2 linked regions of the Alligator mississippiensis genome follow. The protein of the gene in region 1 purifies or fractionates together with the protein of each later gene. This does not show direct contact. Links are inferred from orthologs where the notes say so. Each region holds a gene or a part of one and is shown in the gene's direction. Other genes may lie near its edges.

The links.
Region 2: the proteins of NOP58 (region 1) and NUFIP1 purify together in Homo sapiens (co-immunoprecipitation; 3 studies listed by BioGRID and IntAct, with this or other methods). This does not show direct contact. The link is inferred for Alligator mississippiensis from reciprocal best matches to the Homo sapiens genes NOP58 and NUFIP1.

Annotation. Positions count from the first base shown.
Region 1 is NC_081827.1:171,308,007-171,316,145, forward strand, and holds the start of NOP58 (nucleolar protein 58), read left to right. Parts: upstream 1-4,930; coding exon 4,931-4,975; coding exon of another isoform or gene 4,976-5,059; exon of another isoform or gene 5,060-5,210; intron 5,211-8,139. Other genes in the region: SUMO1 (small ubiquitin-related modifier 1), read right to left, coding at 3,400-3,464, 4,858-5,059. UniProt on the Homo sapiens protein: Required for the biogenesis of box C/D snoRNAs such as U3, U8 and U14 snoRNAs. Part of the small subunit (SSU) processome, first precursor of the small eukaryotic ribosomal subunit.
Region 2 is NC_081824.1:410,873,512-410,880,871, reverse strand, and holds the start of NUFIP1 (FMR1-interacting protein NUFIP1), read left to right. Parts: upstream 1-4,230; 5' UTR 4,231-4,306; coding exon 4,307-4,475; intron 4,476-5,461; coding exon 5,462-5,550; intron 5,551-6,040; coding exon 6,041-6,145; intron 6,146-7,360. Other genes in the region: GPALPP1 (GPALPP motifs-containing protein 1), read right to left, coding at 4,022-4,106. UniProt on the Homo sapiens protein: Binds RNA.

The DNA of each region.
Region 1 (8,139 bases):
TATATAAATCCATGGTGCACCCACCTCTTGAATACTTCATGCAATTCTTGCCACGTCATCTCAGACAGGGCATGCTAGAACAGGAAAAAGTAAAAAAGAAAGATAACGAAGATAAACAGGATCTGAAGAGAGGCTGAAAAGCCTGCAATTCTTCAGCTTGGAAAAAAGAAGACCAAGGAGAGAAATTAAAGAGGTATATAAAAATATGAACGGTATGGAAGAAGTAAATAGGGAACTGTTATTTACTATGCCTCACTGCATGTGAAATCATCAGGCAACAGGTTTTAAAAAATACTGCATAATTAACATGTGAAACTCACTGCCACATTGATGGAGGGGGGGCAATAGTGCAAAGGGAACAGGTGAGTTTAGGGATGATAGCTTCATTGGAGTCTATTAAATAGAACAGTCAAGGACACAACCTATTTAAGGTGACTGGAAGGTATGAAAGTGGAGGGATTGCTCTATGCTGTTTATTATACACTTCCTCTAATGTATCCAGTATTCACCATAGTCAGAAACAGGCCACTGAGCTACACAACCTTTAGTATGACCCAATTCTTAAGATTCTTAACTTCTTCCCCCTCCCCAACCCATCTTCCTTCATTTTCCCTTTGTACTGGGAACCCAATCTTTTCCTTTATTCAGGTAATACTGAAGATGAAGTCAAGGGAGGTAACCTAAAGCAAGGGCTGATTTAGGCCCCTTCTATTTTATCATTTAATACTCAGCCTTTAAATTATTCAACGCATATAGGAAAGTAGGTCAAGTACCATCATACATAGTAAGGATGCACTTTCACAGTGAACCATTAGGTGGAACAAATGAACATTTGAAAGCAATCCAATTTGGCCACATTCCCCTGTACTGAAAAAGCATGTTGATTTTACAGGTTGTGCAGGAAGAGCAGCCATACATTCACATACAACTTAACACTCAAGATCTGAATGTGCATAAATGTAACCATGTCCAAGCAAAAAAAACTAGGACAAGTATTTCTAGTCCATACACAAATTCACCTGGATTGCCTGTTAACAAGAGAAGTGCAACTCCATATCAGTAACTTGTTAAGCCAAAAGGTCAACTCAGGACATGCCAATCTGGTCATCCAATGAAGCTGAACCAGACTGCTGCAGTGTAATACACACACACACACACAAGCACATACATCAGGGCACTGTTATACCTTCAAATTATTTCTGGATAGAAACCAGCTATCAAGTTGCTAGACATTTTCAAGCACTAGCTTTTCAGCTGGTCAGCTATTTTTATAATGGGACAGTCATTTTTCTGGTGTGAGAATTATTTTGCCTGTGTATCTGGTATAAATTTATGGCGTGACTGACTCACCAGCTTATTGTGCAACAAATGTTACGTGCTGCAGGGGCCCAAGAGCATGTATTGACACAAGATATTCTGAAGGTCAATTTGAACATTTTAAAAGGAGAAATAATTAAGAACTAAACAGCTGCATGACAGGAGCATTCAATTAAACAAAGAAAATGGGTTTCTCTTTTTTTTTTGGATCAAGGGCCAAAATTTGGGGGTGCTTAGTCTTGAAAGGGATTGTTGTAATCATGTCAAGTGTTTAGTTTTGCTTCACTGACCAGGAGGCCAGTTAAAAGCATTCAGTTGCTGTTCCAGTGACATTAGTTGTGGACTCAGGAATTAAAAAATTCAGAGATTCAAGAAATTAAAGAAGTCAAGAAACTGCTTAATAGGGTGGGCCATAACAAGGCTGTCACTATCCACCCCGTTTCACTCCTGCGGAACTGGATGCTGGCCTAGCATCCACAAAGAAGGGCAAAGCTGCTAGGAAAGATGGTATTCCACCAGAATTCCTCCACCATCTTGACCCACTGGCAAAACAATGGCTTCTGGCTCTTTTCAACTGTGATGGAGAATGGCCATACTTCACAAATCTGGCATGAGGCAATGGTGATAGCCCTGCCAAAACTAGGAAAGCTAGTACATGACCCTGGGAGCTACAGGCCCATCTCTTTGCTCTGCACAACCTATAAGTTCCTGGAGCAGCTCATCCTTCTAAGAATCAGCCCCATCATCAACCTACTTCTCCCCCAAGAACAGGCAAGCTGGCTTTAGACCCCACTGTAGCTGCTGCGAACAAGTCCTTGCCATCATTACATTGAGACTGGTTTTCACCACAAGCTAAAGACTGGGGCCACCTTCACAGATCTTTCCTCAGCTTATGATACTGTGTGGGAACATGGACTGATGCTCAAACTGTCTCTGCTACTACCATGTGACAAATTACTTCGGCTGCTGTTGACTTTGATGAGCAACAGAAGGATGAAGATCTACCTATGAGATAAGGTCAGCCTGACTCCAAGAATATTCAACAACAGCCTGCCACAGGGTAGTGTTCTGGCACCGATAGTTTTTAATATCTATACAAGTGATATGCCCTACACATCATCAATGTACCTAAGCCGATGATATCACTTTGACCACACAAGCAAATTTTTTTCAGGCTATCGAAGCCACACTGAACTCTGATTTATCAATAATGGCTGAATACTTCCACAAGTGCAGATTACAACCAAATCCAACCAAGTTCATTGTCTCCACATTCCATCTTGACAATCACAAGGCACATAACACCCTCAATGTCACCTTTTGTAAAGAAAAAGTGCGTCACAACCTGACTCCTACCTACCTTTGGGTAGACCTTGACTGCTTCCTAACCTACCATTATCATCTCTGAAAGACTGCCATGAAAACAAAAGCACAAGCTGAGGTGCACAAGCCACCACCCTCTGCACTTCTGCCAAAGCCCTGGTCTTCTCAACAGCTGAGTACCGTGCACCCATTTGGGCCTCAAGTTGACATACCAAATTCACCGACACACAACTCTTCTCAGTAACGAGGACCATCTCTGGAATTTTGATATCAACTCCAGTGCAGTGGCTGCCAGTAATTTCATACATTACTCCTCCCTCTGTTCAATGGGATGCAGCAATATACAGGGAAATAATGTGTATCAATAGTAATCTGGAGCTTCCCATCCACAGAGATCATCCTTCAAGATCCCCCAACTTGTCACATGATCTCACAAAAACCCTTTTGGACACTAACCGAGCACCTGCTATACCACAACACTGAAGAACCTCGGAGGAAAGCATGGGCAGAAAACACTTTCCTAAACAAACACCTCATTTCCAACCCAACAATGCAACAACCAAGCTTCAACCTTCCATAGAGCACATGGACAACCCTTAATAGGATATGCACTAGACTTGGCTGGTGTGGCCATCTGAAGTAGAAGCACCTCAAAACCTCCCCTGGCTGAGACTGGAAACCCTGACCAAACCATGGAGCACATAATAACATCCTGCCCCAGATACAAGTTTGAGGAAGACGTCTTGGAGTTGCACTTACTTTCCAGCAGGGCATTGGTCTGGTTGGGAAATGTGGAATTAAAATGGTGACGACAGCTCTTGCTCCTAAAGCCATACGGAAGAAGAGCCAAATCAGTTCCAAATTCTATTGGACAAAACGCAAGAGTCAAGTTCCAAGTTTCAACTGAGCAGAGCCATCATTCAAGTCCATGTGGCTCTACCACTGGGCAAGTATCCTCCTTCCTAGCCTCACATCACCCATCTTGGGCTTCAGATACTCCTCAAATCTGTAGCCAACATGGTATGTGCCAACCCAGGGACCCTGGGGTTCAGATGCATCCTAGTTTTGCTTGCTCTTAGCCAAAAAGTCAAGGAGCAAACCAGGAGGAAAGCAAAAAAGCAGTCCCCCTTTACCACAAGATTCTGCAGTCAAGTCTCCTACATTTAGGGAAACTCACAGGGGTCTGGGGGTGCCTGGAGTGCAACAAGGGACAGGCCTCGGAAAACCACTTGCTAGCCCACAAGAGGCCTGGTGATTATATTTCCTCCGCCAGGTAAGAATTTTTTTATTTATTTATTTATTTTTATTTAATTTGTATCCAAGGCCGAATTAGCCAAAACCAAATTCAAATCCAAGAGTCCAAAACCATAAGTGGCCCTACTACCAGCAAATATCCTCCATCCCCATCTGGGGCTTCAGACGTTTCCAAACCCTGCAGCGGGCATCCTACTTGCAGGCCCAAGCCCCGAGGCTTGGGGTTCGGATGCCCCTGAGTTTCGCTTGCCCTCAGTCGTAAATCCCTCAGAGCAAACAGGAGGAGACTCCCATTTCCATGAAGTGGGCTTAAAGCTGCTGCAGCTCGGCAGGGACTGGACCATGCCAGAAGAGCAGTACCCCTGTGAAGCAGTCCAGGAAAGCTGCCTACTTGAACAGTTACGTGGTATTTCCCCTGCCAGGTTAAGAAGCCGCTAGGCTTGTCCTGAGCCTTCGTGGACTACACGTGCTCTTAGCTTATAAAAGGCCAGGAATGAGTACACTTGATCTTAGCCAAAATGAGCCATTTTTATCTGAACGCGTTAAAGCAAAACCACCCGGGGGAGCAGGGGGGCGGGCAGGAGGGCTGGGCTGCCCTGGTCTCAGCTACAGGCAGCGGGCGCGTGGGCCAAGACGGCTATGAGGGGAGACCCAAACCCCACTCCCACGGCCAGGACGAGAAGGGCGAGAGCTGCGCGGGGCCCTCCGGGCGCCGCCACAAGCAAGGACAACGCCTCGTCCTCCGGCTGCAGAGGCGGCGCCGAAACCCCGCCCCGCCTTCAGGGGAACGAGACTAACGACTCTCAGAGGGCCGTGACGTTAGCACCACCCTCCACCTCCCGCCACGTAAGCTGGGAAAAGCCTAGGCCCAGGCGGAAGAAGCGGAAATGCATCTTCCCCACCCCACCCCCTGCCCACTTTACACCCAGCCCCGCCCCCACCCCAGCTTCGCGCGCTGCTCACTTCCGGCCGTCGCACTTCCGGACTGTGGCTCGCATGCAGCCGAGCCCGCAGCGGCTGGACACGTGGCCGCACGATGCTGGTGCTGTTCGAGACCGCGGCCGGCTACGCTATCTTCAAGGTCAGCAGGAGGCGAGCCGGGAGCTGAGCGCTGTCGCCGCGCTCGGGCCGGGGCCTCTGCCGTGGGGTGCGGGCGGCTCCGCATTGACTGATGCCCCGGCGTGGCGAGCTCCTCCTGCGCCGCGTGTGGGCGGAGGCCGGGGCGCCGGCGCCCACTTCCCGCTCTCCGCCTGCTGCGCCGGCCCTGCTCCGACCGGCCTGGCGCGGGCCCGGGCTCGGGCCCAGGCCCGGGCGCACGTGGCCATGGTGTCTGTGCCAGGCCTGGGCTCCGCCGCGAGGGCGCTGGCTGGCAGGCAGCGCCGTTGAGGGGTGGCCTTGCCCCCACCCCCCGGCGCGCTCGCAGCCCGTGGGGTCCCGCGCGGGGCAGCGCCGCTCCACGCAGCCGCTCCCTCCTCCGCCGGGCCCGCGGGCCGCCACCCCGACCCGCAGTACTTACAAAACCAGTGCGGTTCATTGTCCTCCCCCTGTTTCCTCTCCCTCTCTTTCTCTTGGTTGCAGGCTCCCCCAAGTCCGTGCAGTGTATGTTTCTGCAATGTTCTTAGCCTGGGTGTAGCAAGCCTCTGGCACTTAAAAAGGCTGGAGGGATATTTTGCACCTGTTGTCTTTAAATAAGTGTAAGGCACGCGTGGTATCAAAACACAAGTTTACAAGGCATGTTGACTTTTAGAGCAGATTGAATATGAATGATCTATAAAAGGCTTTTGGCTTGGGAGAAGTATCTGTGCCTGTTAAAATGGTACACAAAAACTGGGGTAGTGGTGACAAAGTCTGCTGTTACACTCAAGGAAAAGATTATATTTCCCTTTTCTATTTTATTTGGCATGTGGCCTCATCTGTATCTCGGTGTATAAGCAGTGGGCCCTAACCCATACCTCATGGGAGCCTGCAAGGCTGTCCGATATTCCTGACAGCTACAAAAAGTCAAAAAGCGAAAACAGGTTGAGGAGATGACGAGACAAATGATGTCCTTTGGAGAAGGGTCAGTGAAGATGGGAGACCATTGCTCCTAAGTGGATAACCAAGGTTCCTGGGTGGCTGGATCTTTTTTTGTGTTGTGATCCTGGGCAGGGGTTCAGACCTGCGTTAGGGTCTTCCTGAGCTAATCTCATGTGGAATTTGGTAACTGCCTTCACCCCTTCAGAGCAGAGCTGGCTTCCTGCTAAAGTTGAAATGAGAAACTTATTTCTGTTTAAAGAACAGGTTTTTTTTCTTTTCTTCCTCAAAAGAGGAAGAAAACTAAATTTTTCTTCAACCACCTTCTTTTTTTTGTCCATCAAATCCTTCCCACTCCAACCTGCTCAGAAAGCACCAGTGCCCAGAGATTGGGTAGCATAAATAGGGACTGTTGTCCCATTACCTGGATTAGCATTTATAACCCCATGTCCTGTAATGAGTTAACTGCTTTGTGTTATTCTCTATTCTGTGACTTTTTTTTTTACAGCAGTGCCCTCTCCATTTTCCTCTCTTTTGTATCTGTTTTATTCGAATCACTGCTTTCTATTTAGAAGCTCTGCTTTTTGCAGTCTGTTCATATCATCTGATGAAGGAAATCCTTTGTTTAAAAAAGCTTATGCATCTCTGGTTTAACTAATCTACAAGGTGCAGCTCTGCTCTGCCTTTGCATGAGCATAAACCAAGAAGCTCCTCCAAGACAGAACCTGAAAGCAGCTCTGGGCTTATTCTCCGGGCTCTGTTAACACAGCTAGGCTTGGCATAATTTCTGGTCTTTGGTGCATGGCGAGTGAGAGCAAGTGGATAGGTAATCCTCTTTAGCAGGACTCCCAGGTTTGTCACAGAGGTAGTGTAGATATATGCCCATGCTGATCCAAACTGTAGGCCATTTGAATAAGATGAAGTGTTCTCAGACGAAAAAACTAGAGGTGCACCGATACATCAGTCTGATATTGGATCGGTACTTTATTGGATATTGGCCTGATGGGGCCAATAACTTGGCTGATAAATGCCCGTGCTGCTCGCAGCCGCAGAACAGCACTCAGGCAGCGAGGAGTAGAGAGGAGTAGAGCCCTCAGCGTGGAGAGCTGCCTCCAGCTGGGAAGTCCAGTGTGGTGGAAGGAGAGGGGGAAGGGAGGGGAAGGACAGGAGGGGCAGATCAACACCACCACCACCACCACCCCTACCCTGTGGTGAGGGAGAGGGGTGGGACCAGAGCCACAGCTTGTCAGGGGGAGGCAGCTCCCACTGCTGCTTGCACCCTGGGAGGGCTGTGGGGGAGGGGCATGTCTGTCCCCGTCCTGGCCATGTCCTCCTTCCCCCCCACCCCTCCCGATTGGGGCAGCTGGGTTTGTGCAGGGCTCTTTTCAGTGGGGGCTGGGCTTGGAGCAGGTGCTGGCAGCACTGGCAGGATACTGCATCCACCCCAAATTTTGCCAGCTAACTGGCACAGCCCTGCCCCAACATCTCACCTCCACCCACGTGCAGGGAAGAGCCGGGGCTATGGCTGGTGGCAGTGGCACTGGGAGCAGAGCGGCAGCAAAATTTGGAATAGATGAAGCATCCTCCCAGCACTGTCGGTGCCCACTCAGAGTCCAGCCCCCACCAAGAAGAGCCCCTGCGTGGATCTGGGGGGCCCATGCCACACCCTCCCAGGGTGCAAGCAAAAGCAGGAGCTGCATGTTGTTTTCCACCCCCCCCTTTCCCCCCAAAAGAGCTGCAGCTCTGGTGTGCCCCTGCCTTGCCTGGGCAGCCCCTGCCCCCTCCCTCACCATGGGGGCCATTGATCTATGCCCCCCCACACACACCCCTCCCTTTCCCTCCCCCTCTTCCACCACACTGGACTGACCAGCTGGAGGCAGCTGTATCAGAAATTGTATCAGTATCCGCGGATATGCCTATTTAAATATTGGCTATCAGTATCAGCCCAAAAATCTCTATTGGTGCACCCCTAGAAAAAGCACACTTTTTTCAAGTTGACATTTGTGGTTAGGGGGTTTTGTGTGTTGTTCTGTTGTTATGGGGGGGGGTGCACACACCTAGGAAACTGGATAACGGCTCTGATTGGGACCTTGGGAGTCTTGATTATTCAACACTTAGCCTAGCCAGTTCATAGCACCTGCTATGACATATTTGACTGTTTTCAGCAAAGAGTTGAGTTCTACAAATTGTTGCAAGCCTGCTGCTTAAGATCTGGCCTCTCTTTCCACCCCT
Region 2 (7,360 bases), on another chromosome or scaffold:
ACAGCTGCACTGAAGACCTGATAAGCCAAAAACACCTTTAGGATCTAATTCTGCAAACAGCTGTTCATTTAACTTTGCTTCCATGAATAGTGTCAGTGACTTCCAGGGCAATGCTCACACATGCAACATTACTCAAAAGATTTAGTGTCAGTTCCTTAAGCTGGGAACTTTGTTGTTCAAGTCCTTGCTTTAGTGAATATTATTTAAACAAAGTTTAACAGCCCCAATAGGAAACCCATCCTAGAATAGCCAACAGCCTGGTAGCTACAGAACCCAGCTAACCTGAAAAAGGGTGTGGACACATGATATTATCACTACAGAGTAATTTATCTACATTTTACTCTGTAATAAATTCACAATAAGTTTATCAAAGTTATGTTTAATAAATAGAACCCAGACTCCCTCTGCCAAATTAACTGTCTGCAGGAGGAGTTATTATAGCATTTGGCCTCTAGGTGACAACGGAGAGGGTTTGCACTGTTAAAACAGTGACCCCTGGATGAAACTGCCTTTCTGAAGGGTTATTTTACCATTGAGTAAGGCTGAATACTTCGCATCTACTCCACTTTTACTTGGGGTGAAGTCCAATTACTCTGGTGTAAAAGCACTGTGTGTCTACCCTCTTGGGCAGAAAAGAAACATGACTCAGGATTGATCGCATCACAGGTGAGTGTCCTAACCTCTGGGCTGTCTCCTCTCTCTCCAATTTTGATGAGAAATTCTAACCTGGGTTTGAGATGCCTTTCCTGAACAACGTATAGTGCAAATGAACACATTTCCATGAAAATTTTGAGTTTCAACAAATAAATACTTTCCACTAAAACAGCACTTGGTCAGAACATTCTTCAATGGCTGTATTCAAAATACATGACCCATAAGTGTATTTGTGCCTTTAAACTAAGAAGGAAAGTGATATTATTTAAAAGTACTTAACATAGTTTGAATTCAGTTCACCTCTCTTAAAGCCATTATTATACGGCTGTGTTTCCCATTCCAGAGCGTCTTTCACAGAATCTTCTCACAGATACGAACGAAGTTTAGCCTAAAGTCATCTAACTGCAGTGAAGATAATGTCTTTCTTGCACAAACAAGTTATTCATTTTCTATGCATCCTGGTAGCTAAGAAGTGGCTGCTTCAAATATAAGACAAATGCAGGCAAGCACAAACACACAGACATTTATGAACATGCCCTATTTTATCTTGTCTGGTGTTGGTGGTCTAACAGCAGGGTCCAACTCATTTGGCTCAGCAGCTGGATGAGTTGCATGAGACCGGTCTGCAGGCCCGATGTGGCATGCAAGGTCATATCATCCAGCCTGCAGGGGCTACCCAGAGGTTCAGAAATTTGGCAGGACGAACATGGAGCTGTGGCAATTAATGCAGTTGCCACTCATCCTGCTGCCAAATTTCTGGTCCTGTGTGGAGCCCTGTGGGCTGCATGATGCAGCTCCCCAACCCAGATACAGGTGGCAGACCATACCTTGGTCACCCTTGGTTGGACCCTACTGTTAGACCACCCACACTTTTCCAGTGCGTTTAAAAAATGCTCTTCTTTTGTAGGGATGAGCTAATTATTTCTAGACATACAATTAAACTTTCTACTAAGAATAATTACAGACCTCTCCAATAAATGGCATAGGATTTGACAAGATGGCCTTACGCAAGCCAAAAGTAGCAATAAATACTGACGTACAACAGAGCAACCTATTGCCAGTGCAGCAAATGAGATTTAGGTCCAAGGTAGGCGATGTGCATGGATGGATCCAGGATTTTGAAAAGTGGGGTGCAGAATACATGATAAATCACCATGTGACACATTTTCTCCAGTTCAAGAGAAACTAGACGCTTTACTTATATCCTAAGGGCCTTAGGCCATATTATTAAGTTTAAGATCACAGCAAACTATTGGAATGTGTACCAATTTGCTAGGCATATGTATCAATTGAAAAAAAACAAACTAGACGAATAAAGTATAGCATGTCATTAGTCCTGCAGTCACTATAGTTAAATGTACATCTCTTATCAGATTCACAAAACAAAATCTAGCCTTTTTGAATGTCTTGGCAGTGCCTCAAATATTTCACTGTCAGTCATGTCTAAATCTGAGTTAATATGACCACACCTGAGTTAAGGTTTTTAGCTAGAGATCAAAAGCATCTGTAGGGCTGTGAAATGGAAGAGACTCATTACCAGGAATGGCAAACAGACAGCAAAATGGCAGAAGAAAGAATAGCTTGAATAGTGGAAGATCAAGACCATAAAAGGGAGGAAGAATCCTTAACACCTGTGGAATGAAGAGAGATTAGCAGGACTCAGGAAGAAGATAATGAGCCACGAAGTCAATTGACTATCTCATCACTGCCTGAACAGAAAGACCGCTAACCCCCACACGCAGTTGGCTTTAAAGTTTGGGTGAAGCGGGGGGGGGGGGGGGGGGGGGCGCAAGTGCACCTTTACATCCACCCTGCATCTTTCCATGGGCGTATGTATACACATCTGGGACCCCTGATCCATTGATTCTCAGCCAGGTCCCACACCACCCTAGGCTGCCTCAATATCCTTTACAAGGTGACGTGGAGTGTCTGCGTGCAAGTCACAACATAAACAAGAACATTTCCAACAGGAGCCAGCAGCATCAAGACCCGGCTACATGTTTAAATGAAAGGTGGATGGAAACCAGCTGTAGAGCTGTTACACATTTCCAAGCACTAAATTTGTAGCCAGTAGGTTCTTTTTAATTTTGGAGAGTCCTTTTTATGGTGGGAGATTGCTTGGCGTGTGTGGACAGTCTAAATTTACAGCACGCTTCACCAATGAATGGCAAAAAGTCATGGGCATAATTCACTGGGGAATCGTGCCACAAACGTAGACTGGCCACAGATGCAGGGTCATTGTCACATGCAGGGTGACTTAACTTCAAAATGGAAAGGCAAGACATGTCTCTGCCTCTCCTCCCCACCCCTTCCTGCCAGCAGCAGAGCCAAGCAGAGCGGGCGCAGGTGTGGGCTGCCTGCTGTGAACCTGGGGCTCCCAGCCCCACTGCCTTTTCCCTGGGAGCCCTGCACTGGCTGTGTGCCCCCTGTCCACCCGGGAGCAGCATAGGGCACAAGTCCACGCCAACACTGCCCCTTGCCAGAGGGGTACAGCCAGCATGGGGCTCCCAGGAGAAGGGCAGCAGGGCAGGGAGCCCCAAGCCTGCATTCAACTCCACCCCATGCAGAAAACTGGGGGGAGGGGGGGACACACGACACGACAGACGGACACATGTGCCTGCAGTGACAGGGAGCTGCCCCCTGTACTCCCTCCCCAGATGAACCACCCGTGCCTCCGTCCAGCTCCATGTCCCACCCTGGGCAGTGCTGCCAGCCCCCTAGCCCACTCCCTGCCTCACCGTGGGGGTCTCAATCTGCCGCCCACCATGTCCCTTCCCCCCCCCTCACAGACTTACCTGCAGGGAGCTGCTCTCCACACTTCCTGGCTGTATCCCCAGCCATGTTCATACAGCACCTCCTGCATCCTGCTCCCCTCAGCCCCAAGCAGCACCTTCGTGCCGCGAATGGAAAACCCAGATCCCTGCACAATACTGCAAATCCGGGACAAATACTGTCTGGAGTCATGCAGCCCAGGACCAGGGCTTGAAGTTCCCATTTTGGGACTGCCCTGCCCAATTAGGGATGGGCAGTCACCCTAGTCCAGGGGCTCCCAACCTTTTTTAGATCACGGACCAGCAAGCTGTGGCCCAAAAACGACCATGACCAACAAACTGCAGTGTGGAAGTGACCGGCATACCGTGGAGAGGCAGCCAACCCTTTTTTATACTCAGTCGGATGCCTTTCCCGGTCCGGTAGCCAACCCTCGTGCGGCCCGGCCGCCAACCCGCTGCGGCCCGGGGGTTGGGAACCTCTGCCCTAGTCACACGTGCCACAACCAGAGCCGAGCCCCGCTCCGAGGCCGGGAGCGGCCTGAACGCGACGGAGCGCAGAGGCTGGTGGGCAGCAACGGCCACCGCCCCCTCCTCACCCTGCGTGAAGTCCTCGTCGGGGTCCGCCTCGGGGCAGCGCGGGAAGCCCGGGGGCAGCGCCGGCCCGATCAGCTCCCGGGCCATAACAAAAGCGCCGGCACAGCGCAACGCAACCAGACTCCGCCGCGCTTCCGGCGTCGCCCGATGACGTTACTAGCTGCCCATTGGCCGGCTCTGCGCCACGAGGGGGGGACGTGGTGTTTACAGCGGGCCCGGAAGTGACGCGCAATGTGGTGGCCCCCGAGGCGGTCCATGTGGAGGCAGCAGCAAGGGTCGGGCCCGACATGAATCCCTTCGCTTGGTATCCTCCGCCGCCGCCCCCCGTGTTCTGCGCGCCGCCTGCCTGGGAACCCGGCTTCTGGGGGCCGCCCGCCGACTTCGGGCCTCCCGGCGCCTGGTACCAGCCCCCGCCGGCGCCCGGCTACGGGGAGCAGCACCCGGGCCCGCCCCCAGGTACGCGGCGGGAGGAGCAGTGCTGAGGCACCTGGAGCCGCTGCCCGTACACCGTCCTGCGAGCTCTGGCTGTCTCAAGTTACAGAGGCTGGGGGTGGCCCGTGCATGGGACGCATGTGGCTGATCCCACCGGGGGCAGAGAGCAGGTTGGGAAGGGGATTGGAGCAGCCCTCGGGCTGATTGGTGGCACCGCCTGTGCCTGGGGTGTGCCAGTGCTCCTGCTGGGGCATAAACCTTGAGGTTCATGGCTGGAGGGTCTTGCTTCTCTGCTCAGGTCAGACTGATCCCCATATTTGGCAGCAGGAAGGAATTTTACCCCAGGGTCAGATTGGTAGGGCTGTGGGGGGTTTTGCCTTCCTCTCTAATGTGGGGTGCAGACCTCTCTGTACCCAGGGTCTCTTGAGTTCATATTGGCAACCTTTTACAGAAGCAGGATGTTGGTTGCTGCAGTCCATCTGCTTTACCTGTGGCAGGTTAGGGTGCGATGTCTTGTGTTGCATAAAGGTTGGCAGTAGTTTTCCAAAGAGGTTAGATTATATATTTGTTTTGGTTGATTTTAATTAGGGATGATCCTGCCTTGGGCGGGGTTGACCTCTGGAGGTCCGTTCAGGCTCAACTTCTATGCAGTTCTATGGAAAGGTTGGCTCCAATAACTAAGGTCAAAGCTTTTCAACCTGTAGCCCTGGGGGTCTGTACAATATTTAAAAGGGATCTGTAGAAGATGAGATCAATCGGAAGTATGCGAATACCCAGCTTACAATTCAAAGGAGTCCACACCCCCACTCAATTTTTTTTAAGGGTCCGCAAATGAAAAAAGGTTGAAAAGCGCTAACTTAGGCTGTGCACTCTTCTTCTGCTCCCCCTTCCCTTAAATATAATCCTGGTGGAAATAGGGTGTATTTTCACATTGCATTTTTATCACTTTTAATTTATAATTGCTGCTTTTTAATTTTCTTTTTGTTTTTTGGTAACTGGTGTTGTTGAAGGTGGAAGCTGCCATTTTGCCTCAGAATGGCAAGCTGAGCAAACACCCCCGTATTACAGACGTTCTGGCAGTGGAAACTACAAACAGAAGGTACTCACTATAATTGTTATGTCGAGCATGCAGCCTCAGGTGTAGTTCAAGTACAGAGTACTCTCAATTGAAACACATGGCGCATGCACCATGATGTGTCTGTAAGCCTAAATTCAGTATCGTGGGGTGCTTCTTTATTGTTGAGATGGGCTGGCCTCCTGCAAGAATCTTTTTCTCATGATTCATTTGATATCTTCAGTCTACCTAGATATTCAAAGCTTGGGATGGGTTGGTGGTAGCATTGATGCTTTAAAAAGAAAAGTAAACGGAACCTATTTGACTTTAAAAGCTGAGAGAAGTGGAATATGGTAGTTTGATTTAAAATTACTTTTCAGACTAAGCTGCATTTCAGATATCTGGAGTATTGAAATTCCAATTGATATAAAATATTTTCAACGCTTTCTTCATAGCATGTTACTTTATTTAAAATAAGAGCCAATATTTTTAATCAATTTCTTTAACCCTGTCCCCCTTTTTTCTCTTTTGGCAGAACAAAAAGAAAAAAGAACCAGATTTTGCTCACTATTGTGATACGTGTGACCGTGGCTTTAAAAACCAAGAAAAGTATGATGAACACATTGCACAGCACACACAGGTTGGGTTTGTTTATTTTTAGGAAGTCTATATTAAAGTAATGTTTTTGGCCTTCTGTCAACGTTCTTTCATTTTGGTGTTTGATTTTGTAACCTCACCGTAGTTTGTCATGGTCAGTGTCTGAATGGAAGATCTCTAGAGGGGATCCGTGTTCTACAAGGGTGGTATCAGTTGGTAATATTTGCATTAGAATCAGTACTTTTACCTTAACTGGGATCTAAGACAAGGAGTATAGTGCTAGTGCTAATTAGTATCCTTTTTGATTAAGAGGTAAAGCTAAGGTCCCAGTTAAATCTGTAACTTTTGCCTGTAGTTGCATGGGATTGGCTGTTGGTGACCCTGATGCTGAAAGCATATCTGGGTTTGAAACCTGTGTGAAATATTAAGGGATTTCCTACTCCAGATCTGAGTTAAATGCAGTTTTTCCATCCCATTGTTCCGTCCAGTGTCCCATGGTTCTTCCATTGAAAACAGTTCCACAATAGGAGTAATTCTTAGGTGCCATTTGCTCTACTTCTATCACTTCAAGCAAGAAACTGTAGTGAAGTTCTACCTTGCTGGTCGCTGAGAGTTGTAATCTGAATTTTAACAGGTATTTAGTTTCCCTTAATAAAGACTAGGGGCAATGTAGACTTTGTACCTAATAGTTCAAAAGATCTTGTAGCTTAATAGTGTGTAGCTGGTGGCTTTGTATGCTTTAAACAGTTCTGGGTTAAGTTTAACTTCGGGGAAATAGATTTCTTCTCTGTCCCTTTGTTATATAACACTTGTGAAATAATAATAGGACCTTTTGCTTACAGAGTGCTGTGGATCAGTTCACCAGCACCATCAGTCCTCAAATGGAAAGAATTTTGTTTTGAAAAACGCTTTGGGGAGGTGTAATGGAGAGCCAGAAGATTCTTGTTACTTGAGGAGAAAACAGTAGCAGCCAGAGCTGGCTGCAAGGAAAATAATCAGCCAGGGGAAGAGGCAGAGGCTAGGAGTGCCTATCAAAGCTGGTTATTCTGTGATAATCTAGCAGGGAAGAATCCTGCTTGGGAAGCATGGGCCCTGCTGCAGCAGCAAGGCCAGGAGCGGTGAGCTGCATTGGAGCCTTGTCAGCAAGCTTACTAGGGAAACATTTGAGGCAGCTCAGGGAGTCACATGACCAAATGGAGCATGGCTTCCAGCCATATAAACCCAGGGCCTGAATCAGAGCAGGCAGTCTGGCCCTGGA